Canis lupus familiaris: one gene and its partner. The protein of the gene in region 2 binds, or shares a complex with, the protein of the main gene of each other region. Links are inferred from orthologs where the notes say so. Each region holds a gene or a part of one and is shown on either strand. Other genes may lie near its edges.

Evidence for each region.
Region 1: GTF2F1 (region 2) and POLR2J share a complex: the UniProt entries of both Homo sapiens proteins name them as parts of the TBP-based Pol II pre-initiation complex. The link is inferred for Canis lupus familiaris from reciprocal best matches to the Homo sapiens genes GTF2F1 and POLR2J.

Annotation. Positions count from the first base shown.
Region 1 is NC_049227.1:7,616,105-7,631,869, forward strand, and holds POLR2J (DNA-directed RNA polymerase II subunit RPB11-a), read left to right. Parts: upstream 1-6,782; 5' UTR 6,783-6,887; coding exon 6,888-6,940; intron 6,941-7,981; coding exon 7,982-8,071; intron 8,072-9,285; coding exon 9,286-9,460; intron 9,461-10,023; coding exon 10,024-10,059; 3' UTR 10,060-10,239; downstream 10,240-15,765. Other genes in the region: RASA4B (ras GTPase-activating protein 4B), read left to right, coding at 77-214, 1,185-1,320, 2,772-2,892, 4,713-5,001; LRWD1 (leucine-rich repeat and WD repeat-containing protein 1), read right to left, coding at 10,538-10,678, 10,767-10,879, 10,967-11,122, 11,315-11,406, 12,520-12,660, 12,743-12,815, 13,241-13,448, 13,551-13,660 and 6 more. UniProt on the Homo sapiens protein: Core component of RNA polymerase II (Pol II), a DNA-dependent RNA polymerase which synthesizes mRNA precursors and many functional non-coding RNAs using the four ribonucleoside triphosphates as substrates.
Region 2 is NC_049241.1:54,166,646-54,181,826, reverse strand, and holds GTF2F1 (general transcription factor IIF subunit 1), read right to left. Parts: upstream 12,112-15,181; 5' UTR 11,649-12,111; coding exon 11,637-11,648; intron 11,551-11,636; coding exon 11,504-11,550; intron 10,983-11,503; coding exon 10,910-10,982; intron 7,453-10,909; coding exon 7,259-7,452; intron 6,233-7,258; coding exon 6,062-6,232; intron 4,549-6,061; coding exon 4,364-4,548; intron 3,825-4,363; coding exon 3,671-3,824; intron 3,591-3,670; coding exon 3,409-3,590; intron 3,298-3,408; coding exon 3,221-3,297; intron 3,143-3,220; coding exon 3,004-3,142; intron 2,832-3,003; coding exon 2,714-2,831; intron 2,622-2,713; coding exon 2,417-2,621; 3' UTR 2,369-2,416; downstream 1-2,368. Other genes in the region: adenylate kinase isoenzyme 1-like, read left to right, coding at 12,296-12,389, 13,622-13,821, 14,398-14,541. UniProt on the Homo sapiens protein: TFIIF is a general transcription initiation factor that binds to RNA polymerase II and helps to recruit it to the initiation complex in collaboration with TFIIB. It promotes transcription elongation.

The DNA of each region.
Region 1 (15,765 bases), on a different chromosome or scaffold from region 2:
GAGACTAAGGCCCAGGACTAGGGCGTGGAGTGGTTCTAGCTCGGACCCTGAGTCTCCTTGTTCTGGCCCACTCCAGAAAAGTGCCCTCATCAAGCTAGCCAATATCCGGGCAGCAGAGAAGGTGGAGGAGAAGAGCTTTGGCAGCTCACACGTCATGCAGGTCATCTACGAGGATGACGCAGGCAAGCCCCAGACCATCTACCTGCAGTGCAAGGTGGGGACCATATGGAGGACACTCAAGGGGAGGGGTGCTGTGAGACTAGCCGCCTGGTGTGGGAGTGAGTCAGGCCCAGCAGAGTGTGAGATCTGATGTGAGTGCACAGTGTGTGTGTGTGTGTCCTGGGCTCTGGGGACCTGTGCCCATGGTGTTCCCTGGGCCCGTCTAGACGCCCACATGTAGGTCTCTGTGTAGTCCAGTGTACGGATATGTACGTTCCTGTGATTCCAAGCTTTGCACATTGTACGTTTGTGGGAAACTGGATTTCTGAGTATCTGTGTTGGTGCCTATGTGTTTGTGGTGCGCGTCAACGCATATTAATCACCTGTTTACACAAGCATGTGGCTTTGAGTACATGCTCTCAAATTCTTCTCTTTAGGTATTAACTCATTCATTCATCTAAGACTTGTTTGTGGCGCCCCTGCAAGGCTCCCGGCGCTGTTCTTGGGGGTGGGATACAGCGTCAGAGGACAAAGCCTTGCCTTTATGGAGCTTGTCCCTCAGGAGACGGATGCTAAGTGAATATGTAAAATGTCACATGGTGACAGTGCCTTGGAGGACACAAGGGGAGAGGGAAGGGACACAGTCGTGTTTAGTAGTGTTTAGTGTTTAGGGGCATGCTACTCTCCCCGAAGGGCGAGCAAGAGGGCCTCTGACAGGTGGCCTTTGAGCTGGGACATTGTGAAGGAGAGAACGTCTAGGGGAAGGATACAGGGAGTAAGAAGGAAGGCTGGAGTCAGAGGGGGTCTGGCTTGTCCCTGAGAGTGACTGTCCAGAGCCACAGGGGAAAATGGTGACAGTGAGGCCACCACATCTGGTTAGCAGGTCATACACTGCCCAGGGGATGGCTGAAGTAGGCCCACTCTGTTCATCGGCCCATGTGCCTGGGAGCTCCAGGAAGGGAGGGAGGGCTTCCTGGAGGGGGTGGCCTCAACCCTCCCACCTACCCTCCCGGCATTCCATGCAGTGTGTGAACGAGCTGAACCAGTGGCTGTCTGCGCTACGGAAGATGAGCATCAGCAACCCTGGCCTGCTGGGCTCCTACCACCCCGGCATCTTCCGCGGGGACAAGTGGAGCTGCTGCCACCAGAAGGACAAGTCAGGTGAGAGAGGAGGCCTGTACCCCCTGACACTGCATCTGTCCACAACTGGCTCCAGGGTCCTAGCTGGGACTGGGGCCTTTGAGCCCTGGCTTGTTGGCCTGGCTGGGGAGCCACCTGTGCACCTGCGGGGACTAATCGGGGGCCGGCTAGTCCCTGCGGGTGCTCCGGGTGGGAAGGGTTCTGTGACAGGGTAGTTTGGGAGATGGTGTGTGGTGTGTGTGACACACATGGGCACGTTGAAGACCCTGCAGAGGCCTGAAAATGAGTTGGAATACCGTCTCTGATGCCATGTAATCCAGCACTCGGAACTCACGGGGAGTTAGGGGAACCCTTTCTTGCCCAGTGAGGGAGGTTCTGGCAAAACCAGTGTTCCAAGAACACACTTCAGGAACTCCTTGCTAAGGAGGGCACATGAGGGCTCCTGAGTTTGCCAGTGCACACCTGGCAGCCTGATACCGAAGCTGCGGGTGGGGGGACTCCAGGCACCAGAGGGATGGCCCATATGAGCTTCTGCTAGAACTTTCCGTGATAGCGGCAGTGGTATGTATCCGTACTGCCCAGTACTGCACTTGTGCTTGTCACGAACATGTGTGGTTAGGCTTGAACCATGGCCAGTGTGGCCCAGGAACTGAATTTTAAGTTTGTTTTAATTTTATGTAGTTTTAATTAATTTAAAATCAAATGGCCTCCTGTGGCTAGGTGGCTACCCTATGGGACAGCTGAGTTCTGGAACTGTTAAGATCTTCCTTCCCTTAACCTCGGTCTGCTTTACAAAATTATTGTTCCCCATTCACAGAAGAGACTCAGCCCCTGGAGCCTGTGGCCTCTGGGCAGGGCCCAGCCTCAGCCCCTGGAGCCTGGCTCGGGGAGGCCCTGGGAAGCTGCCCCGCCTGCTCCAGACCACCCCTGGGTCTGGGAGGGGGCAGTGGCAGCTCTTTACACGGGCATCACTGGTTGGTTGGCCTGACTTGCAGCCCCTGCTCTGACCTTGGTGGTGATAAATCCTGTCACTGGGGAGGGGGGCTCCCCATGGCGCTAGGAGGCATAGGGCCTGGTAGCCCATTTTATGGAGGAGGAAACTGAGGCTAAATGGGCTGATGCCTCTGCCAAGGTTGTAAAACCAACGAGTGACAGGGCCAGCTCCTTCCAGGGCACAAACCCCTCAGCTTCCATCCCCATGCCACTCCCTTCTTCCTTCCAGGCAACCAAACATCCAGAAAGTTGTCCAGCCCCCTGACTTGTGTCTTGTGTGGCTTCCGTGCTCTGCAGTCATGTATCCTTGGCCCTGGGCTCAGGAGTAGACCCGAGAGGGATGAGCTGCTGCCCTCCTGGGGCCCCTGAGGCCGTTCTTGTTCCCCTTTAGCCTCTTGTGTCCCCACCTGCACTATCACCAGGTTGGATGTAAGCTCTCCCAGGGCCTGCCCATGACTCTGCCCTCTCTGTGCCCCCAGATCTGGGCTGTGACAAGACTCGGTCACGTGTGACCCTACAGGAGTGGAATGACCCTCTGGATCATGACCTGGAGGCCCAGCTCATCTACCGGCACCTGCTGGGTGTGGAGGCTATGCTGAGGTGAGGAGGCCTATAGAGCCCCAGGGAATGTGGCCAGCGAGGACCGGGGTGAGGGACAGGGCCAGGGCCAGGGTGAGGGCTCAGGACTGGTCCTTGTGGTCGCTCTTTCCACTGCACATCAGGCCGGCCCCTGCCCTGCCTGCCTGGGACAGCTACACCCGCGGAGGGGCACATGGGCCTCTGTAAGCTCTCCCTCTGTCCTGCCCGGGCCCACCCAGCCTCCCAGCCCGTCCGGCCTTCCCGTTGTGCCCTTGGACCACAGAGCTTGTCCTCAACCCTGGCTCTAGCTCAGAAATGATCAGAATGCCTGGGCCCTACCACACCAACTCAGAGTTTCTGGAAGTGGAGTCCAGCATGGGGATATCTCCAGGCAACCCACTGCTTCCTAAGAGCGCTGTTTCCCTGAGCCTGCTGGAAGGGGGCAGTTTTCTAGCCCAACCCTGGTCCCGGCAGGGCCCAGGACGGGTGGTGGTGGTTGTCCGTGTTCCTCATCGACTTTTCCAGGGTTTAATCTTTCTCAAAACCCTTCAAAGCTCATGGGGTCAAACTGGAACCACTCATTCCCCTGTGAGCCACAGTTTCCGGTAGCTTTCAGGTCATTCTGCAGCCACCTCCTTTTTTGATAGTGTGGCCCCCTTGCTTGGTGACTTCATCCTCCACCTACGGGATGAAGCCACCACCCTGTCTTCTCTGTTCCTGGGACCCACAGTTGTCCTCCATTTAAGCCAGGAAGCGGCAGAGCAAAAACTCGAACCTGAGCCACCTTGGGTTTAGGTGGGCCCCAGCACGGGACCGGTGCCCATGGGCCTCACCGTAGCACCCTGCCTTGAGAGCCTCCCCACCTCTAGAACCACCCTTTCCATTCCACACCGCCAGACCTCCTGCCCCATTGGCACCTCTGATTCCGACTCAGGGGTCTGTCCTTACTCCCCGTCGTAACTGATCACTGCACACTTGTGTTGGGAACAACACTGATGTATTCTCTTGCAGTTTGTGTTGAATAAGCAAATGAGCAGAGCGGTTAAGGGACCAGGCCGACCCCACGGGGCCTAGAAGGCATTTGAGGAGGAGGAGCCTGTTAGATCTTAGCAGAGGGACACATCTCCTCCAAAACAAACCGTGGGAGACTCAGAAGGGCCAAGCCAGTGCAGTCCCTAAGCAAGGAACTTCAGGCATGAGGTCCACATGGCTGCTCACTCTTCCTCCATGTGAGCTCCTGGGACTGTGCCTGAGGACCAGGGATCTCTGGTGAACCCCGCTTAGGACTCGTGCTTAAGTTGTCACCGTCTCCTCTTCCTATAAGAAAGAGACTCCCTCCACGGCCAGTTAATATGGGGGATTTTCAGGCCCCAACTGGCCCCTTTCCCCAGGGCCCTCCAAAACAGAAGTGACGTTCCAGAGTGCCTTCCATCGACCCACCGCTGGAGGTGGGGAGGACCAGTGGGGGCTGGAGAGGGAAGGTGCTAGGGGGCCAGAGGACCAAGGCCTGGGCCCCTGTTTTTCTTCCCCACAGAAAGTGTCAGCCCCCCACTCCTGGGATCCTCTCCAGCTCGGGAGGCCTGCAATGGGTCACCCAGCCTTCCTGGCAAGGGCACCACGAGCTCTCATTCGGTCCTCCCCTACAGGGAGAAGCAGCGGGAGCTGAGTGCAGCAGGCACAGAGGCAGGCTCTGCACTTAGGGGCTCAGGGGAAGGTAGGTCCTCCTAGCTGGACTCCCACACTGGCCTAAGTTCCACTCAGGGGTGCTGTGGGTGGGGCCCAGACTGGTGCTGGTGGGTGAGGCCCTGCCTGCTCTGCCCTCATCTGGCATCTGCCTCCAGCCCCCAAGGATCCACTGGCCCAGCTGTTCCAGGTGCTGCAGGACCTCCGGGAGGCCCACAGATCCAGCCCAGCCAGCGTACCGCCCTCGGAGACAAACCGCCTGCTGGAGCTGCAGACGTGAGGCCTGCCCCACATGCCCTCACTGAACCCCCTGCCAGGTGCTCGGAGACCCCCCCCCTGGTGCGCTTTCAGCTCTTCACATCACTCCGTCTCACTGGGGAGCGGGGCTTAGGGCTCTCCTGGGCTGGGTGGATTGGGGGCCAGAGGCCCGTCCTTGCCCACCTGTAGTCTCTAGGGGACTTTGTGAGCTCCTTCTCCTCTATGAAGCCTGGCTGTTCCTCGCAGCCCTTGCAGCCATCGCTGGCACCACCCCACTCTCTCCAGGGGCCCTCTCCTACCCCGGCAGACCTAGCCAGAAACCAACCCTAAGATGGCCCTTGACCAGGTGGACTGATACTCCTTGGACTCACAGAGGTGGGAGGGAACATGGGGCCCACCCAGGAGACCAAGCCTTGACCTCAGCATCCCCTCAGCTCCTGGCCATCACATCACCTGCTCCCCTCCAGCCACTGGCTGGGCCCCCCCGGGAGAGCTTTGCGGTGCTGTTGCTGACAATAAACCTGCTGTGACTGCTTGGGCTCTGGGGTCTTGTGATGGGGGTCAGTAGAGGGACTGGGCTTGGTGTGGATTCCAGTGGCTTCTTGAGTGTGGCCAAGGACCGGAGCCACCAGAATAACCTTCGTGCATCCCCTCTGTTCACCCCCCCACACATCCTGGGAGGACTTGTTTCTTCCCCCAACTGCTGTTCCCACCATACTCCTGGGACCCCTGCTCCATCCCCCCCCAGGCTACAGAGCCTGAACAGTGCCTCACCTTTCCTTCCTGCCCCCAGGTGGCTGAGCCTGCACCCCCCCTCCGCCATCACCAACACCCTGTTCTCTGGCTCCTTCCTTAGGACCTCACACAAATCCTCATGCTTTTTGAATCTCGGTGGGTTTCCAGGACCTTGTGGTCCGGAAGTACAGAGCCCAGGGTCCACTGCACCCTAATGAGAGTGAAGGGGAAAGTAGTGTGCACTACTTATGGGGCTGCCACAGGTAGAAGCCTGGGTTTGAACTGCATACATAGCCCCCCAGTGGTGTCACCGCCCACCCTCTCTTCCAGGAGGGTCCTGGATGGGGTGGCTGCTGCAGCCTGTAGGGGTGACAGTGAAGCAGGGCCTGGCACTGTCCCCACGGCTCATGTACCCCCACACCTCTAGGTTCTGTCAGGCGGGAGTGAGGCCCCTTTGGGGTAAAAACTATACCCCTTCTCTCCACCCCCAGCCAGCCAAGTGGCATCCTAGCTTTGCCCGGATGGCCCAGAAGGGTCGCGGCTACGCCCCTGTGCATCATCCCCTCATGCCTTCTGTTCCTCACCAGTTAAAGCCCCCCCCGTGGAGTCCAGGCTGGTGTGGGCCTCTGGCCAATGGCACCTCCTCACCCCAGGGCCCAAGCTTAAGCAAGGAATAGCCCTTCCCAGGAAATGGAGGCTCCTGGTTTCCCGGGCAGGTCCCCGGCGGCTCCTCAGATGCTGCGGCTACTGGAGCCGACGGGAGACCCAGCTCCTTGCCTCAAACAGCGCAGGTGGGGTCCGTCCACACAACTGCGGTCGGCAAAATAGCAACCAGCAGTGCCAACGCACTCCTCTCGGCCGCCAACCGCCTCCGCCGCCGGGCCGTCTGCCTGGCAAGCAGCTCATCGGCCCCAAGCCCGCTCCGCAAAGGGGCGACCACGCGGGGGAAGGTGGGGGTCGCGGCCGGCGGCCTTCTGGTCCTAGGACCTGACGCCTCCTGCCGGCCCGCACTGCGCCCTGGCTCCATTCTCCACTCGAGGGCCTCGCGCTGGGCCCTCCAAGCGCATTTGCAAAGAAGGATCTTGAGGGGGGGGGCGGCCCCCGGGGCCGCCAACGCCCCCGCCAACGCCTCACGCATGCGCAGAGCCACCAGCGCCTCGGTCCTCCCGGGCTCCTCTCGCCTGCGCTACATCCCCCGGGCCTCCAGGGGGCGAGCGGCCGGCCTCCCCACGGGGGCCGTAACCCGGAAGCAGCCGCTAACCCGGAAGAGGTGGCGTCGTAGAGGGTCCTGCAGGCGTCGGGGGCGGCCCTGCGGCTTCGGCTGCGAGTGCGGCGCTAGGATGAACGCCCCTCCCGCCTTTGAGTCGTTCTTGCTCTTCGAGGGCGAAAAGAAGTAAGTGGAGCTGGCGGGGGCGAGCCTGGGGTCCGTCCAGTAGCGGGAGACGGAAGCCTCTGTGTCCGCCAGATTCGAGCCAGCCCTGCCGGGCGGTGGCGACCGACCCCCTTCCGCAGATGCGGAAACTGAAGCTCAGAGAGCCAAGGAGCTGCCCCGGCCCTCGGGGAGTGGCGGTGTGCGTGGCGCCAGAGTGCTTCCCCCCGGGATCCGGCAGCCCCCTCGCTCGCGTGCCTGGCCGCCGCCTCCTGCGGCTGCAGCGGGGTCCGGCTCTCAGGCTCTCGTCCCGCCTTCGCTGGCCTCCGGAGAACCTCCAGCGGCTTCTTGCCCGCGGGGTGCAGGCGGTGTAGTCTTGCTGTCTCTCAGCCTGGGCTTGGCTCCTGGCTCCCCCACTTAACGTCTCCGTGTCTTTGGGCAGGTGGCTTAGCCTGCCTGAGGCCTGCTTTCCTCATCTGGAAAATGGGCTTCTTGCTCTGTTAAATCACAGGATTTTCTCAAAGGGGAGCTTGAGATGATTTACGGGAAGTGCTTAGGCCAAGGCTCAGCACACAAAAGACTGTCTTAAACGTCGGCTTTTCCTTCTCTTAACAGCCTGGTGTGCGGGGCTCTATGTCTAGCCCTTGCCAGCCACTTCGTCTCCCTTGGGAGCAGTGGTTGGCAACTAGGGGCTATTTTGCTCCCCAGGGGACTTTTGGCAACGTCTGCAGACACTTTCGTCACATAGGGGCTGCTGCTGGCAGCTAGTGAATAGAGACCAGGGATACTGCTCATATCCTGCAATGTACAAGACCACCCCCTGCGGGAAAGAATGATCCACCCTAAGATGTCACTGGTGCCAAGGAGCAATCCAGAGTAGGTGAGGGTCCCGCAGAATCGGGGCATAGCCACTCTGCTGCTCTGAGTCAGAGGTCTTTATGGATGAAGAGATGGAGGAAGGCTTCGAGGTGGAAGTGGGGCTTAAGCCTGAGTTAAAGGGCAGGATTTATCCTGGGGGGAGGAGGAGAGCCCCGTTTCCCATCTGTTGCTACCACCTCTTCCTAGGATTACCATTAACAAGGACACCAAGGTACCCAATGCCTGTTTGTTTACCATCAACAAAGAAGACCACACACTAGGAAACATCATCAAATCGTAAGTTCCGAGTCAGAGGCTCTCAGGCAACGTTTAATGGGGCTCTTTGAGGCAAAGCACACGTCCCAGATTTCCCGAAGTCTCTCTGAGCTGCCGGAAGGTCTGGGTGCTTGTTCTGGCAATTCACACGTTTCAGTACGTTTTCCCCAAAATGCTGCTGCCCTGGATCTGTTCCCACAGCTGTATTTCTGTACTGGTTCATTTATCCGATGAAAGGAAGTGAACGTGTGGCAAAGCCAGAGAAACCTAGGCCGACTTGCCAGAGATTGGAACTTATTAGAATGAGGGGAGAAGGTGGGGGAGAGGCTCTGTGATTATCCGATGCTCATGTTGGTTAGCAGGTGTGTAAGTACATTAGCGAGGTCCTGGCCAGGTAAGTGGTCAGTGATGTGGTTGCTGTTTGGGCTCAAGGGCTTTTGTCAGAAAAGCACCATGGGTGAATCTAGGTCTTTCCGAGGGTCATGTGTTTGAGACCACTGGGCAGGAGCCCACCTCACCTCTGGGCTGAAAGTAGGAGGTGGGGCTGGCTCTCTCCAGTCTGGCTGGCCCCACCCTGAGCCATGCCGGTGCTGCTCCCAGGCCCTTCTGCTCCCCTACTCTGGGAGGCATGTCCCCACCTGTGCAAGAGCCTTCCCTCTTGGTGCCTGCTGCTGACTGAGCTGCTCCAGAGAATCCCCCGCGGGCCCAGGGCAGAGCATGGCATGCACACTTCACCTCACAGCCAGGCACAACGGGTCCCAGGTGTGTGGGCAGCAGCGTTGACCAAAGGGCTTCCGTTTCACTAAGCACTCAGAGCCTGAGCCTTTCCTGCTGTGCCAGACGCTCTTACTGGGCCAGAACCAGCACATTGTGTTCTGGTTACTGAGCACTGGCTGCCTGGGGAGGGCTCTTTGGTGCTGTTGCAGGCCCCCGACTTCCCCTGAGGGAAGTTTGCTGGAAATCCTCTTTACCAGCTGGGGTCCTGGATCCTCATGGATGTAGGGGTGGGGGGAGGAGGGAGGTGTCCTCATGAGGCAGATGTTCCAGATGTTTTACTTGGAGATATCTTTGGGAAATCAAGAGCAGGAAAGCAGCTGGAGTCAGCCATCTCCTCCCTGCCCCACCCCCCTCGCTTCTAGGCCTCAAGCCAGTGGGAAGGCTCCTTGGTTAGAGGCCTGGTGGTCCCAGGTGCTAGGCCCAGCCCCCATGTCACACTGCCCATTTCCTGATCTCAGACAGCTGCTGAAGGACCCCCAGGTGCTGTTTGCTGGCTACAAAGTCCCCCACCCCCTGGAGCACAAGATCATCATTCGAGTGCAGACCACACCAGACTACAGCCCCCAGGAGGCCTTCACCAACGCCATCACAGACCTCATCAGCGAGCTGTCCCTGCTGGAAGAGCGATTCCGGGTGAGGAGCCGGGCGGCGAGGGGTGTTTGCATGCTAGCCAGTATGGCCAGAGCTGTTCTGATGCCCACACCGACAACCCCTGGGTAGTTTCCGGATTTATTGTGGGGTGGGGGCACGTGGTGACTGAGCAGCAGTGCCACTACAGCCTTGAACGAGCTTGGACTAAGGGGTTTTAACAGAGTTGAGGTCGGGGGCCTGCTATCTGCAGGCATGGGTGGGAACTGTACTGAGTGCTCCAGGGTCTCCTTGGGACTGCTCCCCCAAGCCTTCTCTGGTTAAGGCCTGGCTGCTTCCAGGTATCTATCTGTACATGGGGCAGCTCATCCCAGGCAGGGTGGGGTCCCACAGTTGAGGCCGAAAGGGGATGGTCCCACCTGTCCACGCAGAGGGCCTTAAAGTCTGACTTGGGTGTCAAGTGGGAAAGATCCACAGCTTCTCAGGCAGATGGGTGGGGTGTGCTCAGAAGGCCCTGGGGTTGCTGACAGGACAGCAGGGCCCGGGCAGACCTCGGGTCACTGGGGCTGCTTTCCCACTAAGCAGCTGCCCCCTCCCTCTCCGCTCAGGTGGCTATTAAAGACAAGCAAGAAGGCATCGAATAGTGGGCTGGAGGAGTCTTGTTTGGCTGGTTCCTACCCTGCACTGGAACCTTCTCCGGGCTTCCAGTAGAGGCGAGCAGCTTCCCTGGCTTCAGGGACATCTTGTTGAGCTCCTCCCCCCAGAGTTGGTGTGTCCTGTACACGGAGTGTTTTACCTTCCTAATAAAGACCTGGCTATGGGAAGCAGTGGACCTGCTCAGTTTCACAGCGGACAGGCCCTGGGCCCCCGACTCCTAGACCGACAACCTGGAGCCTGGGAGGGCAGGGGTGGCCTGAGAGGCATGCTTTAGGAGTCTGTTCAGAGCTCAAGGTAGGAACACCAGGGGAGCCACAAACAGCTCTCCAGCCTTCCCTCAGACAGCAGAGAGTTTATTAATAAAATATATTCACTGATGAAAAGATTCTCGTCCTTAGCCCCAAAGCTGAATAAGTTAAGTCATGTCCCTGGTGCTCTGCCGCAGAGGCAGGAACCCCACTCTGGCTACTGTCTCTTCCAGATGGCCACGATATTGGAGTCCGTCAGGGCGGTGAGGTAGGTAAAGGTGGGGTTGGCCACCACCGTGTTCACCATGGTCTTGGTCACCATCTGGCCGAGCGCCCAGGGTTGGGGCCACTTAAGAATCTGGGGTGGCAAGAAGAAAGGAGAGCTGGGTTCTGGCGTTCCACACACGGTCCCCAGCAGTGGGAGAGGGCAGGCAGGTGGCACCTACCTGTGTGGGGGCCTGCGGAGCTGCTGGCCGTGGAGGCGGCTGGGTCAGGATGTGCCTGACGTCGTAAACCCACACGTTGCCCTCTTCATCTCCACACAGCACTATCCCCTCATCTGCTAGGACACATGGACAGAGGTCAAAGGTGGGGTGGGGCTCCCAGGGGTGGGGGGCGGGATTGGGGGGGAGGTGCGTGGGCTCACCGGGACAGGTGCTCAGTGAGAAGTAGGCCAGCTTGGTGGGGGACCACTGCAGCCGAGCCAAGACCACCACTGCCAGAGTGGACTGCTTGCCTCGGCCCATCCAGGTCTGGCTCCAGCTCCACAGGCAGATGGTACCCAGGCTGTTCCCCTTGGAGGCTGTGGGAGGGAGAACAGAGAACTGGGTGGGGGGCCCCCCTAGATGTTTCCTGGTGCACAGTAGGGACCACTCGGGAGCCCCTGGTCCTAAAACCCAGCCCAGGGAGCAGTAGCCCACAGAGGCCTTACCAGGGCCTACCTGGGCTCCCGGGAGGCCAGGCTGTTCCCCCCCCTAGGGTGGGGCTTACTCACCCACGACATCCTCATTCACAAATGCCAGCCCATCCACTCTCCGCCCGGCTGCCTCCGCACCCTCGGAAAACACAAACTCCACCTCACACACCCTGCAGGGCAGAAGACGAGGTGGTCAGTTGCCTCGTGCATGCTGGGCAAGTGGCTGCTGCACGTCCCCACATGGAGAAGTGTGTGGGGTCATGTTGTGTCTGGAAAGGCCACCCAGCAGTGGCCCACAGTCCTAGAGATGCCGCCCAGAGCCACAAAAGCTGGCCAAGTACCTAGAGGAGGAGAAGCAGGCACAGCTGAGGCTTGGACTCCTCCCCAAGGCTTGGAGACCAGACAGACCTGGGGACGGGGCACGGGGCTTCACTCTCAGGTGGGGTATGGGCCGGCACAGGCACTTGCCTGGGCAAAAGCCACCAGCTGGCCCAATGCTTCTGTTACTTGGCTCCACAGAGCAGCTGCTTCACTGCCGTTACCTCCCCCCCCACCCGCGCCCCACCCGAAGTTCTTCCCAGACTACTCACGGCACTGAGGACAAAATTCAGTCTTACCAGAGCCAGTGTCCCCTGCTCCAAGCAACCCTGCCACCTCATCCTGTCCTCTCCACTTCCCAGGCTGGGCTGAACCTCCCTGGTCAGCCCACTCTCCCGCCCCTTGCACAGGCCGCCACCCTAGGCCTGCACCTTCTTGCTCTCTGCTGCCCCAACTCCCTTGCTAGGCTCACGTGGAGAAGGCGAGCCTGAGGACCCACCTCACCTCACAGTTCTCTCAACTCTTTCCTTCATACTTGACGTTACAATTCGTGGGGTTTTAATGGGCCACCTTTTTTAAACACCTACCTCTGCCAGAAGGCTGTGGGCCCCACGAGGGCAGGGATGCCATGCCGAGCATGGTCTCCCACCTTCTAGTGGTACAGATAAACCTTTCCAGGCTTCGTGTCTGCCCAGGCACTACCTCCCCACCGCCCAGGTGAGGTGACCACAGCTGGGAGAACCGACCCAGCCCAGTCCCACAGCCAAGCAAGCACTAGAGGGAGGAACAGGGCATGAGACTAGAGGAGATGGGGACAGGCCAGCCTCTTGAAGAGGCCCCTGAAAATGGCCTTTGGCTGCCTAGAATAGGGCATGGCTTGGGCATCACCCATGGCAGATGTGCTTGGGGTCAGACATCTGGACTAGCTGCTGCTTAGCACCCAGACTTGGCTTTTGAGGCCTCACCTCCTCTTCTGCGGCTGGTCCAGCCGCACGTCCCAGCAGCAGCAGCCACCCTCACAGCCAGCCAGCAAGTAGGTGTCCGGACAGGAAGCCACAGGGCAGAGGCGCAGGGGGATGGATGCGGTATCAAGTGTGAGCAGCTGGCTGTCGGCAGGGGAGGAGAGGATGCGGCCACGGACCCAGGTGTCTGCCCTAGCAGCCCCCCTGCCCTGCCCCACGGCCTCACCTGGCCTGGAATTCGTAATCGTGGTTGGGCACCCCGAGGTCCCAGAGGATGATCCGCTTGTCATAGGAGGCGGCTGAGGAGGGGATGGGAAGGGGCTCTGAAGAGGCCCTACTCCCACCTAGGCTGAGACCGTGGTCGCAAGGCTGGCCCTTCCAAGGAGGGCAGGGCCACAGCTGGGAGACCCAAGACTCATAGGCCACCCATCCCTACCTCACCACGCCCCATGCCAGGCAGCCATCTTTTTGCAGGTCTCTGCTCACATACCCCTTCTCGGGCTTACCACACTTGGTGGGGTGGGTAAGGGGGCCAGGATCTGAAGCCTGATCTGTTGTCTCCAATGCCATGCTGCTTCTACCATGGCCAGAGTGGACCTTGGTGGCCTGGTGTGAAGGCCACCAGCCCCAGGACCTCCCTGGCATCCCAGGGAGGGCATACTGAGGTGTCAGGCTGCAGGACAGGGTGTTGGGAATGTCTCAGGTGTGCGGGAGAGGGTCTTACTGAAGAGATGGGTCTCGTGGGTGGGGCTGAAGCAGAGGGTGGCAATGGCCTTCTTGTGGGCCCGGATGACCCCACAGCAGAAGCCAGCTCGCACGTGCAGCAGCCGAACCAGGCCCCGAAGGCCTGCAGCCGCCAACACACTCCAGCGCTTCTTGTGGCCTGCCTGCGTGACCACAGTCAGGGCTGTCCAGGCCACTGAAAAGAACTCCTATGGGGGCAGGGGGCACGGGCGTCACCAAGGGGCCGAGTCTGGACCCCCAACCTTAGCACTGTGCCCCCGGCTGTGCAGGAGCCAGGCCCCAGCACTCACCTCGCCAGGCGCCTTGTACTTGTGCAGCACGATGCCTGTCTGGCAGTCTATCACACACACGGCCTCCCCGCCACACGTGGCCACCGTCTGAGACGTGGCCCCCGCCTGCCCTGTGTTGAAGATCAGCCCAATAAAAACATTCTGTGAAGTCTGCCCCTGCAGCTCCTTCTTCCTGTCCTTACAACACCTTGTAGGCGGTCTCTCCCAGGTCCCCCATTCACTGAGCCCCTGACCCCTGCAGGTAGCATTCCCAGGCGCCCAGTCTAGATAGCTCGTTCTGCTCCTTCCCCGTGGTCTTGCCCTGCCCTGCCTGCCCACCAAAGACATACCCTCCTCCCAGGCTGGCTCAAAGGCGCAGGCCCAGAGCTGCGTCTCCAGGTCCCGAGGGCTGTTGTTCTTGCTGTGACATTGTAGAAAGTGCAGGGGCTCCAGGGTGGGCTGTGGGGGAGGGGGGCAGTGGGGGGTCACAGCTGCCCCAGGCCTTGCTCCCTGCCCCCTTGCTAGCTTACCTGGCTGCCATCAGAGCCCTCGACGTGGGCCGACGAGGAAGAGGTACACACCCGCTTGTTGGGAGACAGGCTGAGTGGGGTGTCATCCGGCCGTTTCAAGGCCACGGGCTTGGCCTATGGAAGGTCAGGGCTGGCCTGAGGGCCTAGGGACCACGGGCCCATCTGCCCAGGGCTTGCGTCCTCGGCATTATAGGCTGGGCTGCACCCTCCCATGGGGGGAGAAAACAAGACATGGCCCAGGGTCAGTGCAAAAGAGCTCAGGCATCAGAGGCCATCTCCTGGGCTTGTTTCCAGGACCCCATTCCCCCTTTCCTTACAGTCTCCTTAGGCAGGAAAGGCCGAGGCAGGCCTTGTGGGCGCCATGGGACCACGCTTACCCTGGGCTCCCGGGCAGCTGTGGCTTTTGGAGGTCTCTCTGGGACGTCTGCCTCCCGCACCTGGATCCCACCAGAGGCCACCAGCTCCTCAGAGATCATCCGCACCTACGTGGGGCCAAGAGAGCAGGACGCTGGGTATGGACCTAGGGGCCCCGGCCCCTCTGGATGCCCAGGGCAGAGGGAGCCCTGGCTTCCAGAGTAAGCTGCCTTCCCTGACCCACCCCACTTTCCACCACCCCTCAGGGCCAGAGACCTCTAGGGCAGCTGAAGGCATGGAAGCCATTGAGGAGTGGGGAGAACCGACTCCCAGCATAGCAGGGTGAGGTCATACCCGCCACTGGGTGAACTCGCTGAGGGACTCAGGCCCATAGCGGACGTCCCTGACAGCAGACCTCACAAAGTCGGCCTGGGCCTTCTCTGCCTCCTCTGGGCTCAGTGCAGCCTTGAACTTCTCCCAGTGAGCTGTGACCTGGTACAAGAGGGACCAGATTCAAGCCCAGTCCACCCCAGATGTCTCGGACCCTCTGTGGCACCCCTGACTCCAATCTTATGGCCACAGATGACTCCACCGCATCCTGGAAGCCTCCATGAGCCACAGCTGTCTTGGTGGCAGCGTGCACAAACCTAAACCACGCCCACATGAGAGAAACTGCCCCGAATAACAGGGTCCAGTCACTGTGAAAGTGTCTCTGCCTCGCTGGCTGGGCCCTGCCCACACACCCTGAGAGAGGACCTCCATGGGCAAGAGGCCAAGCGCCATGGCCAGGCTCAGAGCAACATGTCAGGATAGGACATGAGCGCCATTCAGTGTCCCCTGCAGAGAGCCCCTGTCAACCCCGCTCAGGGTCCTCCAAATGTCCAATTCGATCACTCGCTCAAGGGCCCTGAGTGCTCCCGAACACCAGAGATACCTGCCGGCCCCCTCACCCTGCTGGTCAGCTCCCGATTTAGGTTCTCCACCTGAGAACAGGTGGAGGAAGCATCCTTGCCATTGACCTTACGGAGCTTGGGCAGGAGAAAGGAGACTTTCAGGTTGTCACTGACCTGGGGGGAGAGGGAGAATGGCTCAGTGTCACCCCAACTCTGAGCTGTGGCCCCACAGGGTGCTGGCCCTAGGTATGAGGCAGGTGGGGGCCCCCACTTACAGTCAGGAAGGGGTTGCCCTCCAGGCTGAGCTCCTCGAGCTGCGGGAACTGGCACAAGGCAGTGACGTCCCCCAGCTGGTTGTTGGCACAACGGAGGACACGCAAGTGGGACAGGCCCAGGTTGGCGGGCAGCGTCTCCAGCTGGTTGTTGGAGAGGTCCAGCTCTTGCAGCTGCTTCAGGCGG
Region 2 (15,181 bases):
TGCCCACCCCTGTGCTTTAAGAGTTAAGTGCTCACCCCCGCCCCGCCCCGGCCAGACATTCCACAGACCCATTTCCGACACCCCCTTCACCCCTGATTTATGAGTGTTGTGGCAGCCAGAGCCGAACCCAGGGCGGGCCACCGAGTCCCCCACCCCACCTGCTTTCTCGAAAGAGGTGCAGGGGGCGGGGGCACGAGGACCCGCCAGTGGGACCTCTCCCCACTCAGGGTGCCAGGGCTCAGGGATCCCCACGTCGTGCACCAGGTAGAGTGGTTAAGGGGGAGAGACGGGCCAGCAGGTGGCCGGGCTGATGGGGAACCCTCCATCACAGCCGCCACCTGGAGGATTAAGACATCATGCCCCTGTCTCCGGGCCTGGCTGAGCCACCGTCAAAACAGGAAAAGGGAGAGGCCCCGGGGACAGCCAAGAACTGGGACAGGAACGGAGGAAGCTCACCCTGCAGGGACGCCTGTCTCTAGAAGGCCAAGCTGAGGTCCCTGGGACCTCAGCCCCATCCCCACGTTAGGGTGGGAGGGGAGGTTAAGCCCACCAGGTCTGAGAGGCAGCAGCAGTTTCCAGTGATTTCCATACCCGGCCCCATGAGCCCTGGGAAACGAGGCCACCCCTCACCTGTGAAAGGGGGCTAATCAGAGTCCTTCCCACGCGAGGTTCTGAGGACAGATGGTGCATTTAGGGTTTAACACGCTGCCTGACGGTGAGGAGCTTTCGAGAATAAGCCCTCCTTTGAGGCAAAGGAAGCTCGATTGACTTGGGTACGTTTAAAGAGGTGCTGGGTCCCATGTAGGTCGGGGGGAGGAAACATAGGTGGGACCCTGCAGCCCCGGGGGCAAAACCCTGCAAGTGCGCTCACCCACGTCTGGGGGTGTGTGTGGTGCGGGCGCGTGTGCCATGCACCCCTACTCCACGCTGTGGGCAGGGGTGCAAACCGGCAGCCCTTGAGCATTCGCTCCGGAAGCCGCCAATCAGCCCCGCTGCCCCTGGACAAATCTGGCGCCAGGAACTCCTCCCACGCAGGTGAGCAGAGGCACAAGCTCAGGACCGCTGCTCGCTTTACATCAGCAGAGACAGGGAGCGACGGGAACTCCACTGTGACGGAGGCTTCGGTCATTCTGGTGTGGTGGCTACTGCGGTGCTTGCGGAGACCAGCTTCAGACAGAAAGTCATCGGTCCAGAGTCACCGGGATTGAACAGTAGCCAGGATTGGAAGCCACATCCTGCTGAACCCCAGGGCCTTGCTCCTAACCACCGCGGCACGTGGCTCCGGCCTGCGTGGGGAGGCCAGGGGCAACACTGCCTTCCTGCGGCCCCAAGAGGCCTGGCAGAACGCTGGGGAGGGAGGCTGGACAGACCTGGGACATTCCTAGGAATTAGCCTGACATCTCCGGCATCCCTGCTCGGTGGCCCAGGGCCCGCGGAACAGGGTGGGGAGGTTGTCCGCCTCGTGTGCAGCCTCGGGCAGGACGGAAGCGCCGCAGCCTGCCCCCCAGCCAGATCCCTCAGTACAGGGGTTCAAAAGTAGCGCCAGCTGCCAAATTCCATTTCCAGCAATGAAACTGTCCATGAACTCAAAGAGCCTTCCCACGGCAGCGCGCCAGCAATACGAGATAAAAATAAATGCCTAACGAAGTCGCTGGAAATAAGGGAAGCCCTAGAAACATCGCTGGAAAGCTGAAAAATAGGGCCCAGGTGCTGACACTGGCAACAAAAGGGTTCAGCCACTAGGACAGAGCCCACCCGCTGAGAACCACCTAATCTGGGCCTGGTGAGGGGCTCCTGGGACACCGGGGTGGGGGGGAAGCTGAGGCCAAATGCACCTGGAAGATTTGCCTGTAAAGCCGACTGTCCCCAGGAGGCCCCCCCAGAACCCCTGCGCCAGGTCCCCATCCCAAGTTGTAAAACACAAGAATCAATCATGGAGAGGAGTCAGGAGGCCCGCAAGCGTCAGGAACCAGGTGCCTGGCAGAGACCGTGGTAAGACCAGACGCTTAAAATGTGAAAGAAGGGGTCAAACCACAAGCAGATCTGCTCTGAAGAGGAAGCAGAGATGAGCCGAATGGAGAGCCGGGCCTGGGAGCCGAGCACTTCATGGGTTGGGGGGGGGGGGGGGGGGGGGGGGGGTGGGCACAGCTGAAGGCAGAACCGGAAGCCAGCTGGAGGGACGGCCGCCCACGCAGACACGCAGAGAGCACCATGGGCTGAGGACTAAGGAGCCAGCTCCAAGGGGCAGGGGAAGGTTCCCGGAGGGAGGGACCTGGGAGACCAGAGGACGGCCCGGGGTGATCCCGCACTGACAAGGGGGCTCTGGGACTCAGGGAGCAGGTGACAGACAATGCGAGCACCCAGGAGGTTCTGGCGACGGAGCCTGTTTATTGGGCAGGTGGGTGGGCGCCGCCCGTCACTCCTTGAGGGAGAAGTGCATCTTGTCGCTGATCATCTTGCGCTCGGGGTTGAGCCGCTTGAGGATCTGCGCGAGCACGTTCACGGTCTGCTCGCTGCTCAGCCCCGTCTTCTTGGTCTGGAACTTCTTCAGCAGGTCCTTGGTGGTCATGGGCTTCCGCGTCAGGTAGCGGCGCACCGCGTCCTCCGTCACCTGCACGTCTCTGTGGGGCCAAGCAGAGGGCGGCGTGGGCGGGCGTCCGCAGGCGGCCTCCCCACACCCCCGCCCCGCCCCTGCCATTCCCCCGCAACGTACCCGCTGCTGGGGGTCGACTTCCCCGACTGGGGCTGAGGGGTTGACTTCCCCGACAGGCTCTGGGGCCCCGGGTCCAGCCGCAGACGCTTGGCCACCGGCGTCTCATTGGTCCGCTTGCCTGGGGGAGCGGGAACAGGGCTGAGTCCTGTGCTCGAAGTGGGGGAGCCCAGGCGGAGGGGTGCCAGGATCCCAGTGCAGGGGGCCCAGGGGGCACACAGGCCTTGGCTCCCGAAGCAGAATGCGGGCCAAGGGTGGGAGAAGAGGAGGCAGCGAGGCTGGGTCCCGCTCACCCTGCTCCAGCTTGTTGGCGGCGGCCCGCAGGGTGGAGGACGTGCTGCCACTCTCCGCGCTCGGGCTGCCCGGCCGGCTGTTGCCCCGAGAGCTGCCTCCCGACGGCCTCCGCTCCCGCTTGGGGGGTGTCTTCTTCTTCTGTGGAGATGGGGTCCGGGACATGAGTCTACAGATAGCCCGTCGCCTGCCCCCTCCCGCCCCCGGGCCGGGCCATACCGCCATGAAGAGGGCCGAGGACGCCTCGCTGTCAATGTCGCTCTCCTCCGAGCTGTCCGACTCGTCGCTGCTGTCTGCTGGGGGCCAGAGGAGAGGTGTGGCTGCCGGGGTGCCCACCCGTGCCAGCCCCGCCTCGGGTAAGGGGCTAGGGGGTGGGGGGTGGGCTGGGATGCAGGGAGGGGACCCACCTTTCCTACGCTTCTTTTCCTGGGGCGTGGGCGCCTTCTTCTCCTCCTCCTCCTCCTTGTCCTCCTCGGGTGGCTTCTCCTCCTCGCTCTCCTCGCTGCTCTCGCTCTGCTCGTCTACGCCCTTGGGGCCCTCCTCCTGCTGGACGACCTTGGGCTTGCCCTCCAGCTCCTCCTGCGAGCTGCTAGAAGACAGAACGAGAGGGTGAGGGCCGGCCTGGGCCATCCTGGCCCCAACCCCTCGGCCGCCTCCTGCCTGCCTTACCTCGAGCCGTCCGACATGTAGTCCACCTCCTGGCCCTCGAAATCCCCATCGTCGCTGTCCTCGAAGGCCTCATCATCGGAGCCCTTCTTCTTTTTCTTCTTCTTGGTCCCCTTGGTGGGTGGTGCCTTCTTCTTGGCCTTGGGGGCTCTGCCCCCTGCGGAAGCAGAGGCGGGCTCAGGCTGGCGCTCATCCTATTTGGTGTATCCGAGGAGGTCCGCCTCGGCAGAAGCCCCCGAGGACCCACGTCTCCCAAGCAAACCCGACCAATGCAAGTCTACACCCCTGACTCCCTCTCTCCGGTTCTCACACTCAGGAACGCCACCTCCTTCCCTGCATCCCCCAGGACCGGGTACCGACAATCAGAAACCAGCCTGTGGCCAGAATTATTTGAATTGGCCAACCTGAAGCTGTTGCACCCTCTGCCCCTCCGCATTGCACATCCCGTGGGAGCCCCAATAAAGGCCACAGCTGAGACCTTCCTGTAGCTTTCTGCCTCCTACCAACTCAGGTGCTTGCCCAGTGGCCTGTGTAGCCTGCTGAGCCCTGCTCTCATTCCCAGGGGGCTGTGACTAAGCTTCAGTGGCACTAACCTCCCTGGGCCATCACTCAGACACCTTGACAAAGTACGACGCAAGCACAGATCACCAGGCTGTGCGGATCACCCAGTCACCCCGGGGGCTCCACCGGCCTCACCTTCCTCACCACTGGCCTCGCTGTCGTCAGACGACATCTCCAGGTCATCCTCCAGGTCGTGGATGCGCAGCTCACTGGCTTTCTTTCGGCTGCGCTTCTCCTTTTCCTCGTCTTCCTCCTCCTGATCCTGATCCTTGAGCCGTCGCTGCTGCATGATGCTGAAGTGGTTCAGGACTTTGTTTCTCCTGTGGGCAGGGGAATGGGATGCAGTGGGAGGTGACAAGGGGCCTAACTCCAGAAACCGGGCCTCCTAACTGCATCTACACCAGGCACTCCCCCAAAGGGGAACCATAGACACAACTTTGGTGATATGAGGGATGATCACAACCCTGGCAAGTAACACCCTGAAATTACATGCAGAGAGCTGAATTTCTTTGACTCCTTTCAGTCCTATGTCCCTCAAGGAGAAGCTCTCAGTGGTTTGGTATCCCAGCATCTCTCAAGCTCAAGGCCTTTCCCAGGCAACAACAGAATTTGGCCACAATGTATTTACATCCATGTGTTTTTATGGTAGTTTATGGGTGCCTTTGTTTTTATGACAAATAATACTGCTGTTTCCATTTACCGTGATGGTAAAAGTTTTTAAAGTTTTTAAAAATATGACTATCTAAAGAGAGTCTTAGGATTGTATCTAATAGCACAAGCAAAGTTCATCAGTGGCATGGGAAGGAGTAAAGCTCTTTGATACAAGAATGTGAGTGGACTTAACACTACTGATTAGTACACTTAGAGTTGACAAATTTTATTGTGTGTTTTTTAGTTATTTTTAATTATTTTTAATTAAAACATGGAATGAGGATCCCTGGGTGGCGCAGTGGTTTGGCGCCTGCCTTTGGCCCAGGGCGCGATCCTGGAGACCCGGGATCGAATCCCACATCGGGCTCCCGGTGCATGGAGCCTGCTTCTCCCTCTGCCTGTCTCTGCCTCTCTCTCTCTCTTTCTCTCTCTCTCTGTGACTATCATAAATAAATTAAAAAAAAAAATTAAAAAGAAAATTTAAAACATGGAATGAAATACTGATATATGCTACAACACAGATGAACCTTGAAGACCTGCTGAATGACATGCCAGTCACAAAAGGACCAATACTGCATGATCCCACTCGTATGAGGTCCCTTGAAGGGTCAACTCAGAGAAGGAAAGTGGAATGGTGGAAGCCAGGGTTGGAGAAAGGGGGCAAAGAATAACTTTCATGAGGACAGAGTTTCAGTTTGGGAAGATATGAAAGTTCTGGAGATGAATGGTGGTGAAGGTCGTACAACAATGTGAATGTACTTAATGCCACTGAACTGGATACTTAGAAAGGATGAAATGGCAAGCTTTTACATTACATACATTTTGCCTGTAGTTGATCCAGCCATAGCCCTCCTGCCTGGGGGATGCCAAGTGGGCCAGGGAGAGGCCCCTGCTCTGCCGATTCCTGCTCCATGACTCAGCTCACCTACCCCTCCCCAGCTCTCTCAGGGCCCTGTAGTCCCTGATGCTTGTGTCTGTCTCCCCCACTGAACTGGGAGCTCCCCCACGGCCTGGTGGAGTCTGGTTTGGTTACCACTGAGTACCCAGCTCCCTGCCAGGCAGAAAGCTATGATGATACACCCCACTTCCAAGTGTTTCAGCCCCCTTCTGGGAAGCTGGGAGAGGGCAGTGTCTCCCTTCAGAGGGTCCTGCCTCCCTCCAGGCCTGCCTGGGCTCACTCACCTCTCCCACTCCTCCTCGGCCTCTTCAGCAGTGAGTGTGCGATGTCGGGCCAGCGGCGTGAAGTTATACCAGTTGTGCACCGGGAAGGCCTCAAAGGCCCCGTCAGGGCACTGAGTGAAGATGTAGTAGGACGTGTTCTCTGTCACGCCTCCCTTCTTTATGCCCTTGAACCTGCAAAGAATCATGGTCACAGCCTGGCCCTCAGGACCAGCCCTCTGCCTGCCTGTGCCCCCTGGCCTGCCCCCTCTCCAGAACTATCTGGGTTCTCTGAGCAAAATCCAGGGGCACCTGGGTGGCTCAGTTGGCTAAGTGTCTGACTTTAGCTCAGGTCATGATGTCGGAGTCCTGGGATCCAACCCTAAGTCATTGGGCTCTGCCCTCAGCAGGGAGTCTGCTTGTCCTTCTCCCTCTGCCCCTCCCCCACACATGCTCTCTCTCAAATAAATAAAATCTTTAAAAAAAAAAAAAAAATCAAAAGTCAGGAGACCCTGGGCTGGCCCTTCAACTGTGTGAGCCTCAATTTCCATATCCGGAAAGCAGGGCCAGCACTCCCCACCCCTCTGCTCTGATCATTCTGAGAGCCCACTCAGGGCTCACTTCATTGTGTAAGTATCGTGGTCCTTTCCGAAAGGACCACGGTACATCAGCTGTGAAGCAAGGGCCCTGCAGTCAGACCCCCGCGGATTTGCCTCCAGGTTCCTCCTGCTAGCCTCCTCCTGACCTCTCCCCTCACCCTTCTCTGCCCTAAAAGTCTGGATAATCTTACAGAATGCTCTTTCCTGCCTACAACCTTCAAGGCTCCCCTGGGCCCTGGCCCCCCACAGTCCAGCTGCATCCTGGCATCCACTGTCTGGCACTACCCACCTGCCTTCTGTCACTGTCATGCCTGTGACAGTCCCTAGCGGTCTGCGGGCCATCTCATGCTTCTGTGCATGTGGTTCTGCCTGCCTGGAGTGCCCTCCATCCACCTGACTTCCCAATTCTCACAACCCCCAGTCTCTAGGTGGCCCCTTGCAGTGTGTGATCAGGGCAGGCTCTCAGGCTTCCCAAACCCTGGCCCCTAGAGCTCCCGTGTGAGCAGCAGCTTGGATCTTCAGAAATAAAACCCCATGAGAGACATGGAGGTTGCGACTGGACACCCAGTGGAGTTAGGACAGGAGGAGGATACGGGAGGCACTCACCGCTGCCACTACTTACTTTCTGCCCGATTTGCCATTGACGCGGAGCAGCCAGGGCTGGTCCTCTGGCCGGAACTCCTTGAGGACGATGCCATACTTCTTCCTCCGAGCCTCCTCACGAAGCTTGCGGTTGAACTCGCTGCCCGCACCAGACTCAGGCATCTCCTCCTCTTGGTAAATCTTCTTGTTGCTCAGGTCTCGCTCCAGCCGGGCCTGGGGCAACGGGGCAGGGTTGGGCAGGAAACAGACACTTTCAGCAGGGTGCCCGCCATTGCTCAAGCTATGCCTGCCCCCCCAAGGAACACCCTTGACCCCCGACCCAGGCTGAGCTGCAGACCTTCAGAGCCAACCTCCTGAACAAAAAAGGGACAGGACACTGCCTTTCTGTGCATCTGGGGGAAGGGTTGGGGGTAAGCTTTGTACTAGCTCTATTTTGCAGCCTTTCAGAGTTTGAAATTACTTCTAAATCAATAAAGAAAAAAATAGATCATTTTGGTGACAGGACAAAAGCAAAAACCATGAAAACAACCTGCTTGGAACTGGTCACTCCTCCTCTCTCTCTCTGCATTTAGACACCATTAAAGGCTGTTTTCCAATTCGGATCTCCAGGCAATTCAGCAGCAGTTAAGATATTTTAAGATGCACACAGTTCTTACCCTAGAGCTTCCTCCTCCAGACAGTGGAGGTGAAGTGCCATACACACACGTGCCCCCCCCCCCCCCCCCACACACACACACACACAGGGCTGTTTACTGCGCCACTGTCTGTTGCAGCAAAAGACTGGAAATGAACCTAATACACAGCAGCAGGGGACTGGCTTAATACAGGGGGCCGCCTCCACATAATGGAAGACCAAACACAGGCAAAAGTATGTAACAACTGCCAAAACATATTAACTGAAAAAGGCCAGATGACTGAGGTCACTCCCCATTATCAAGAGATTTCTGATGGCTGGGAACAAAAAGATCCTCCAAGCATCCGGAAGTGGGGGGAAAAGCAAAGTTTTATTGGCATGCACATGCCCAACCATTTACAGATTGCAATGCCTTTACTTGTGTAGAGGCGGGGTCGGAGGGCTGCTCCGGACACTGGCCAACAGGGCCAAGCATAATAATTAGCTGGTCTTTGAAGAAATAGTCTGCTGACCCCTGGTACAAAAGACAAGAATGAGAATGGTGGAAACCAAAAGCTAGAGTCCAACAGAAGAAACCTTCGAAATAGGAGAGAAAGTGGCTACCAAGCTAGCCTGGGCTCCCTGGTCATGCTCCCCAGCCTGAGGCTAGAAGAAAGGCACCCCCGGGATGGGAGAAATCAGTGTACTTCCCACAGCTCCTCTTCAGGGAGCCAGCCCAGGGGGTACCTCATTACAAAAGGGGAGTAAACAGGCCTGATTCCCTGAGGGTGGGCACCCCAAAGGGCAGGGCCCCTGCCTGGCTTGTTCACCATTAGCCTGGGGGGTGCTCTCCAGGGACAGCTGCTGGAAAGAACGCATTTGGAAGGGGTTTCTGCCCACACGTTGTTCATGGGTGAGGAGCAGCTACTGGGGGAAGCGATGTCTCTTGTGGTTATAAGTGCTTAGGTGCTAGACCTGCCCCCTCCTTGGGGTAATGAGTGACAACCCAGCAGGTTCATCTCTTCCCCAGAGAATGCAATCCCCTCCTAAGTGTGCCACTTAGGCAAGGAGAATTCTGGGGGCTGTATCTCTCTGTGACTAGGTTATAGAGGGCATGACCTCTGGGTGGTAAAAACAAGGAGTGATGTCCCCCCCATGATGATCAGGGAACAGGGTGTCACCCTCAAGTTACTAGTGGCTGGGAGGTCACACATCTCAAAAGGTGATAACTACTCAGGTGCTGCATGTCAAGGTGATGGGTGACGAGGGGCAGGTTCCTCTGGTTTCTTGTGGATGAGGGAAAAGGGGCTCTCCCACTCAATGAGGGATGGCGGTAGTATGTTAGTATGTTCCCAAGGTATTTACCAAGTTATTCCTCTTAGTGAGGGGTGTTTAAAGCTGGGACCCCCTGATGTGTGGGTATCTCCCTCTTGGATGATCAGTGATAAAGAATGCCCCACCCCACCCCCACCCCCAGAGTGATCAGGGATTTGGAAACACTCCACCTTCTCTGGGTAATTTAGGTGAGACCAGAGGTTGGGGGAGCATGTTAGTTTGTATATGAATGTGCATACGGCTGGAGATGCTGGGGGGCAGGCAGCCTACAAGGGAAGAGGGTGCCCTGAGCAAGCATCCACCTGCCCAATATCCAGAGGGACTAACGTCTCTTTCAAATAGCCTCACTTGCTCAACTAGATGAAGGGATGTTTAAAAACAGTCAAAAGACAGACCGGTGCTGAAAACAGGATGAGCAGCAGGAGCTGCCTGAAGCTGCCAACTTTAGACCTGGGCCAACTCCTGTGCTGGGCTGGTCCAGTCTCTGTGGCTTCAAATGCTGCCCCCAATGCCCAGATGCTCCCTCCCAGTCTCCCAACTCAGATGCTCCACTGCTTATTTACTGTCTCCTCCTGGGTGTCTGATATAAGATGTTGAGAACTGAACTCCCAATACTCTGTCCATCCGGCCCTGTCACCCGTCAACATCCAATCATTAACAAATCATGTTGGCTCCACTTTAAAACACACTAGAATCCACTGACTTCTCACAACCGCTGTTTGCTCCATGCCCAGTCGTCACTCACCTGGACCACCGCCGACGCCTCCACCCTGCAACACCCTTTGTCTGCCCCTGATCCTATAGCACCCAGATCAGTTTATAACTCCCCTGTTTAGAACCCTTTAAAGGTTTCTGCTATAGACTGAATGTTTGTGTTTTTTTTTTTTTTTTTTTTTTTTTTTTTTTTTTTAAATTTTTTTTTTATTTATTTATGATAGGCACACAGTGAGAGAGAGAGAGGCAGAGACACAGGCAGAGGGAGAAGCAGGCTCCATGCACCGGGAGCCCGATGTGGGATTCGATCCCGGGTCTCCAGGATCGCGCCCTGGGCCAAAGGCAGGCGCCAAACCGCTGCGCCACCCAGGGATCCCTGAATGTTTGTGTTTTATCCCAAAATGCATATGATGAAACCTAACTCCCGGTGTGATGGTATGGGGAGGTGGGGCCTTGAGAAGGGGATTAGGTCCGAAGGGTGGAGTCCTGGTGAATGAGATGAGTGCCCTCTTAAGAGCTCTCTCACCCCCTCTGCCACGTGAGGACACAGTAAAAAGACAGACATCTACGAACCAGGAGGCAGGCCTTCACCAGACCAAACATCTGCTGGCGCCTTGCTCTCAGACCTCCTAGCCTTCAGAACCGTGAGAAATAAATATGTGTTGTTTAAAAGCCACCCGGTCTGCGGTATTCTGCTGTAGCAGCACCCATGGACAGAGCTTCCAAAAACCATCTGCAGGCTGCAGCCCCCTCGGCCTTGCCCAGATGACTCTAGGCTGGAAATGCCCGTCAGGGGGCACAACTTCTAAATGCCATCCTTTCATGAGGCCTCCTGTGGGGCCTGCCCAATCTTCCTCACAGGGATCCCTAGCAGCTCAGCCTGGGCCTCAGTACATCGTCTTATCCCCACTCGGGGAGCGGGGTCGAAGCCAAGCCTTAGTTTTACCACTGTAACTAAGCGCCTATTGCAGGATCAGGTTCTTACGCTCACTCCCAACGGGGACTTACCTGATTCCAGGTAGCAAAGTTGACTTTGTCAGCAGCATTGAAGGCCATGATGTTGTATTTTTTCGTTGTGTTTCTGGGGTGGGCAAAAAGAGGGCTGCTCTCAGTTCACCGTTCATTTAACAAACCCTCCCTTGGCTCAGCAACGCTGGGGACCCACAGAAGCCCTCAGGGGTTCCCGGTCTCTCCCGACCCCTCTGCTGAAGAAGAGCAGGAGGGGAGGCATAAAGGTCGGGGGACGGGGGGTGCCCAAGGTGTGGGAATAATGGAGACCTCTGTCCTGGGGGCGGGGGCGGGGGAGGGCAGGCAGGGCATGTTTCCCAGAGGAGGAAGATCGTGGGGCTGGGTTTTATAGGACCGACAGGAGTCACAACGCCAGGGAAAAGGCCTTCCTGCCGAGAGAAGGCTAGGCCAGGGGGCTGCATCCGACGTACCGCCCACTAATGGGCTCATTCATTCATTCCGTTGCAAACACGGGATGCACCTCGCTCAACCCCAGCCCTGGGCCCAGGTCCCTGCTCCTCGGGAGGCGGCATCACCGGCGGCGCCAGGCTGGCCTGGGAGCTCAGGAAGCGGGGAGAGGGCTGCGGGACTTACTTGGGAACTCGGACGACATACTCGGTGACGTTCTGGCTGCTGGGGCCCTGCGGGCAGAGAAGGAGGGGCGGTGGGTGAGTGGGGGGCTGCAGAGGCGGCGCGCCGCGACCCCCGAGCTCCCCCGTGTACTCACGAGGGCCGCCATGGTGACGGTCGGGGGTTCGGGTCCGCTGCGGCCCGCGCCCCTCAGTCCCGGGGAAGCCGCCCGCGCGCCGTCGGGTCTCTGGCCCGGATCGAGGGGGCCGCTACCCAGAAGTCGGTCTTCTCGGGGAACCGCTCCGGCCGCGTCTGCGCCTGCGCCTAACCTGGACGTGACACTCGGGCCGCGGCGCGACGGCAACCTCCTCCGCGTCACCTAGCTCCCCGAGTCCCGCGGAGCGGACGGCCCAGACCGACCCCGACGCGGAAGACACCCCGGCTGCGGCGGAAGCCGCGTCGCGCCTCTCTATAAAGCGCGACTGATTTAATCAGCCTGTGGCCACGCCTCCTCGTGACATCACATCCGGGGGCCGCGGGGCGTCCTGGGAGAGGAGGGAGGAACCTAGCCTCCCTCGCGAGCTCTCGGGCGCCTCGCGCATGCGCCACTGCACTCCGGAAGTGAGTCGGAGGAGGCCGCGTCACCATAGCGACCGGGGCCTCTTAGTCCGCGCCGAGCTGTTGGGGCGCCGCCAGCTGCGCCCCTTTGGGTTCATTTCCTCCTTCTGCCCCGGGGAGACCTCATCGTCTCGCCAAGTGATCGGGCCCTTGTGACGTAGAGCCGAGCCAGGAGGAGGAGTCAGGGCCCGGGTGGGGATGGGGCGCGACCACCCCAGGGCCGCTGGTGGGATGGGTCTGTGCAAGTCCAAGCTGCCCGAGGTGGGCAGGCCCCTGCGACCCCAGGAGAAGGGTAACGTCGCAGGGGCGGCTGGCTCACGGGGCGGGGGGGAGGAAGGAGGCCGTGAAGGGCACGAGGGAGGTGCAGGTACCCCACACCCCAGGCCGGTGTGCACACGCCCCGCCCCCCACCCACCGAGCTGCACGTGCTCGAGGATCAGCCGCGCTTTGATCCGCTTGGGCACCTGCTGCGCGGGGTTCTGGGCACTCCACGGCGAGTATGTCACACTAGCTGTCCGGCCTCCAGGAGATGACAGTGTAGACAGGGAAGGAGACAGTCTCAGAAAAATGGGATCGGCGAGCAGGAGGGAGCAGGGCTGCCACGGGGAGAGAGGAGCCGGCTCTGCGGCCCCCAGGAGAGGGGAGGTTTAAAGTTTACGTTGGGCCCTGTGGGATGCCTGGGAATTCACTAAGCCAAGCGGGAGGGAAGCAAGACACGGAAATTGCATTATCGACTACTGCGCTGCCTTAGAGACGCCTGGTAGCCACGCACCTTCGTTTGCTCATCACCCGCTACCGCACGTCAGGGACCGTGGCAACTGGTAGAAACCCGGGGACCAGCAAGACAGAACTGGTCCTTGCCCTCCCGGAGCACAGAGTGTGGCTGGGGAGACGGACAAGAACAAGGAAACAGGCAAAATCCTAGCTGACCGTGGCTGCTGCAGTGGAGGAAATGTGGCCCTGGGACGGGATGATGCGGGGGGAGGTCGGGAGGGGAAGCCTGATGGGCGGGCGGGTGGGCTGTGTCCTGAAGGCGGCGGAGCAGGGACTTGGCGTGCAGGGGGAGCAGCGGGAGAGGGATGAGTTTGGCAAGTTCAAGGGACAGAAGAGGCCAGGGGGGCTGGACCAGAGGGAAGGAGGAGGAGGGCGTTGTGGGATGGCCCAGAGGGGGCGCAAGTCTGAGCCTGTTTCCTCAGCTGTCAAACGGGACAATCGAGTCATTGAGGTTTTCAAGGAGATGCTGTGTGCAGAGGGCATGGCCTGCTCGCAGTCTGCATCCTCTTCGCAGCCCCCCAAACCCGCCCCTGTAGCAGCGCTAACCCGTGCCCTGTGTGGATATACCACTGGGCATGGATGCACACCCCCAGATGCCACCCTAGGGCAAAAATGGGTAATGCCAGGAGACCCGTGTCCCGCGTCACTCACCCGAGGACACACACTAGGCTGTGGACACAGACACATCGGTGCGTGCTGGCCCCTGCAGGCACCAAACCCTCTCCCCACCTCTTCCCTGGGCCCCCACAGACATCCTCAAGTCTCCCCTGATCATCTTCGTGATGGGCGGCCCAGGTTGTGGCAAAGGGACACAGTGCAAGAACATGGCGACCAAATACGGCTTCCGCCACGTGGGGCTGGGCCAGCTGCTGCGGCAGGAGGCCCGACGCAGCACCCAGCGGGGCCGGAAGATCTATGACATCATGCTGCAGGGGCTCCTGGTGCCCACGGTGAGAGCTCACAGGCACCGGGGCAGGGGGAAGAAGGGGGTACGTCAGGATGGGCTTCCCTGGAAGCAGAGAGGCCCAGAAGGCCGCCACTCCCACTGCTTTGCTGCCCTGAGCCTCCGTGTCCCCACCTGTCAAAGTGGAAGAGCAGCTGGACTCCCAGCAGGAGTCCGTAGTGAGGGTTGGCTGACCTCATTGCCATAAAGCATGTGGCAAAGTGCCTGCAACTTAACGAGTGCTCCGTAAAGTCAGTAGTTATTACCCTCGTGACCTTGGGCATATGTCACTGGCCCCTTCTGTACCTGTTTCCTCCCCTGTAAAAGGAAGGTCCCCCCCCGTACCTACCTGTAGGACGGTAGCGATGAGTAAATGAGACCTCGCAAGCCTGGCACACAGTAGTCGCTCTGCCCGGTAGACCGGCTCGGCGCAGCAGAGCAGCCTCGGCATCCTGGGCGCTGGGCAGGGCAGGTGCTCCCCTGGACTCACCTGAAGTCCAGACCCAGGAAGCGCACTTGACAAGGTAGCCATGTAGGTGAGGGACCCCCGGGGCACCAAACCCGCCACCCCTTTCCTTCCCAGGGCATCATCCTAGACCTGATCAGCAGCACCATGCTGTCTCACCCAGAGAGCCGAGGCTTCCTCATTGACGGCTTCCCACGGGGGCTGAAGCAGGCCAAGGAGTTTGAGCGCCTTGTGAGTGACCCCAGGGTGTGCAAGCGTGCGGTGAGGCGTGAAGCCGCTCCCCCCCTCCCTGCCTTGAATGGAGATCAGAAGGAGTGAGACTTGGGGGAGAGGAGATGGCAAGGGGGGAAATGGGGTTTTATATTTTCAAGGGACAGTCGGGAGGGAGATGGTTGGAAGCTTCTAGAACCTGGGTAGGTAGCTGGGGAGCTGGCTGGGACAAAGTCCTATTAATATCTTCCTGCACATCAATTATTTGCCCACTGAAGAGCACGTGGGGTTAGTATCATCTCTGGGCCATTGACATGGAGTCTAGTTATCCGTTCATTTATTTATTCAACCACCTGTCCCCAGATCTTTCGAGAACAGGCTCTGTCCTTAGGATTCATGAGACCGACTCAGTCCCTGCTCTTAGGATGCCAGGCGCTGACCTATACGTGACTCGCTGGACAAAACAGACATTTCAGGTCGCGGTGAATGCAGTAAGGAGGAGACAGAACGACATCCTGGAGGGACACAAGTGGGCTGTTCGGGGTGCGGGCCCAGGTGGCCTCCCCGAAGCCAGGACATTGGACAGTTGAGCTGTGCCAAGGAGGAGCCAGCTGCGTTTCTTCAGGTTCCTTCTGCATGCCAGTAGCGCTGACTTCGTGAAAAGGCCCATCCGCCCCCTTGAGCAGCCATA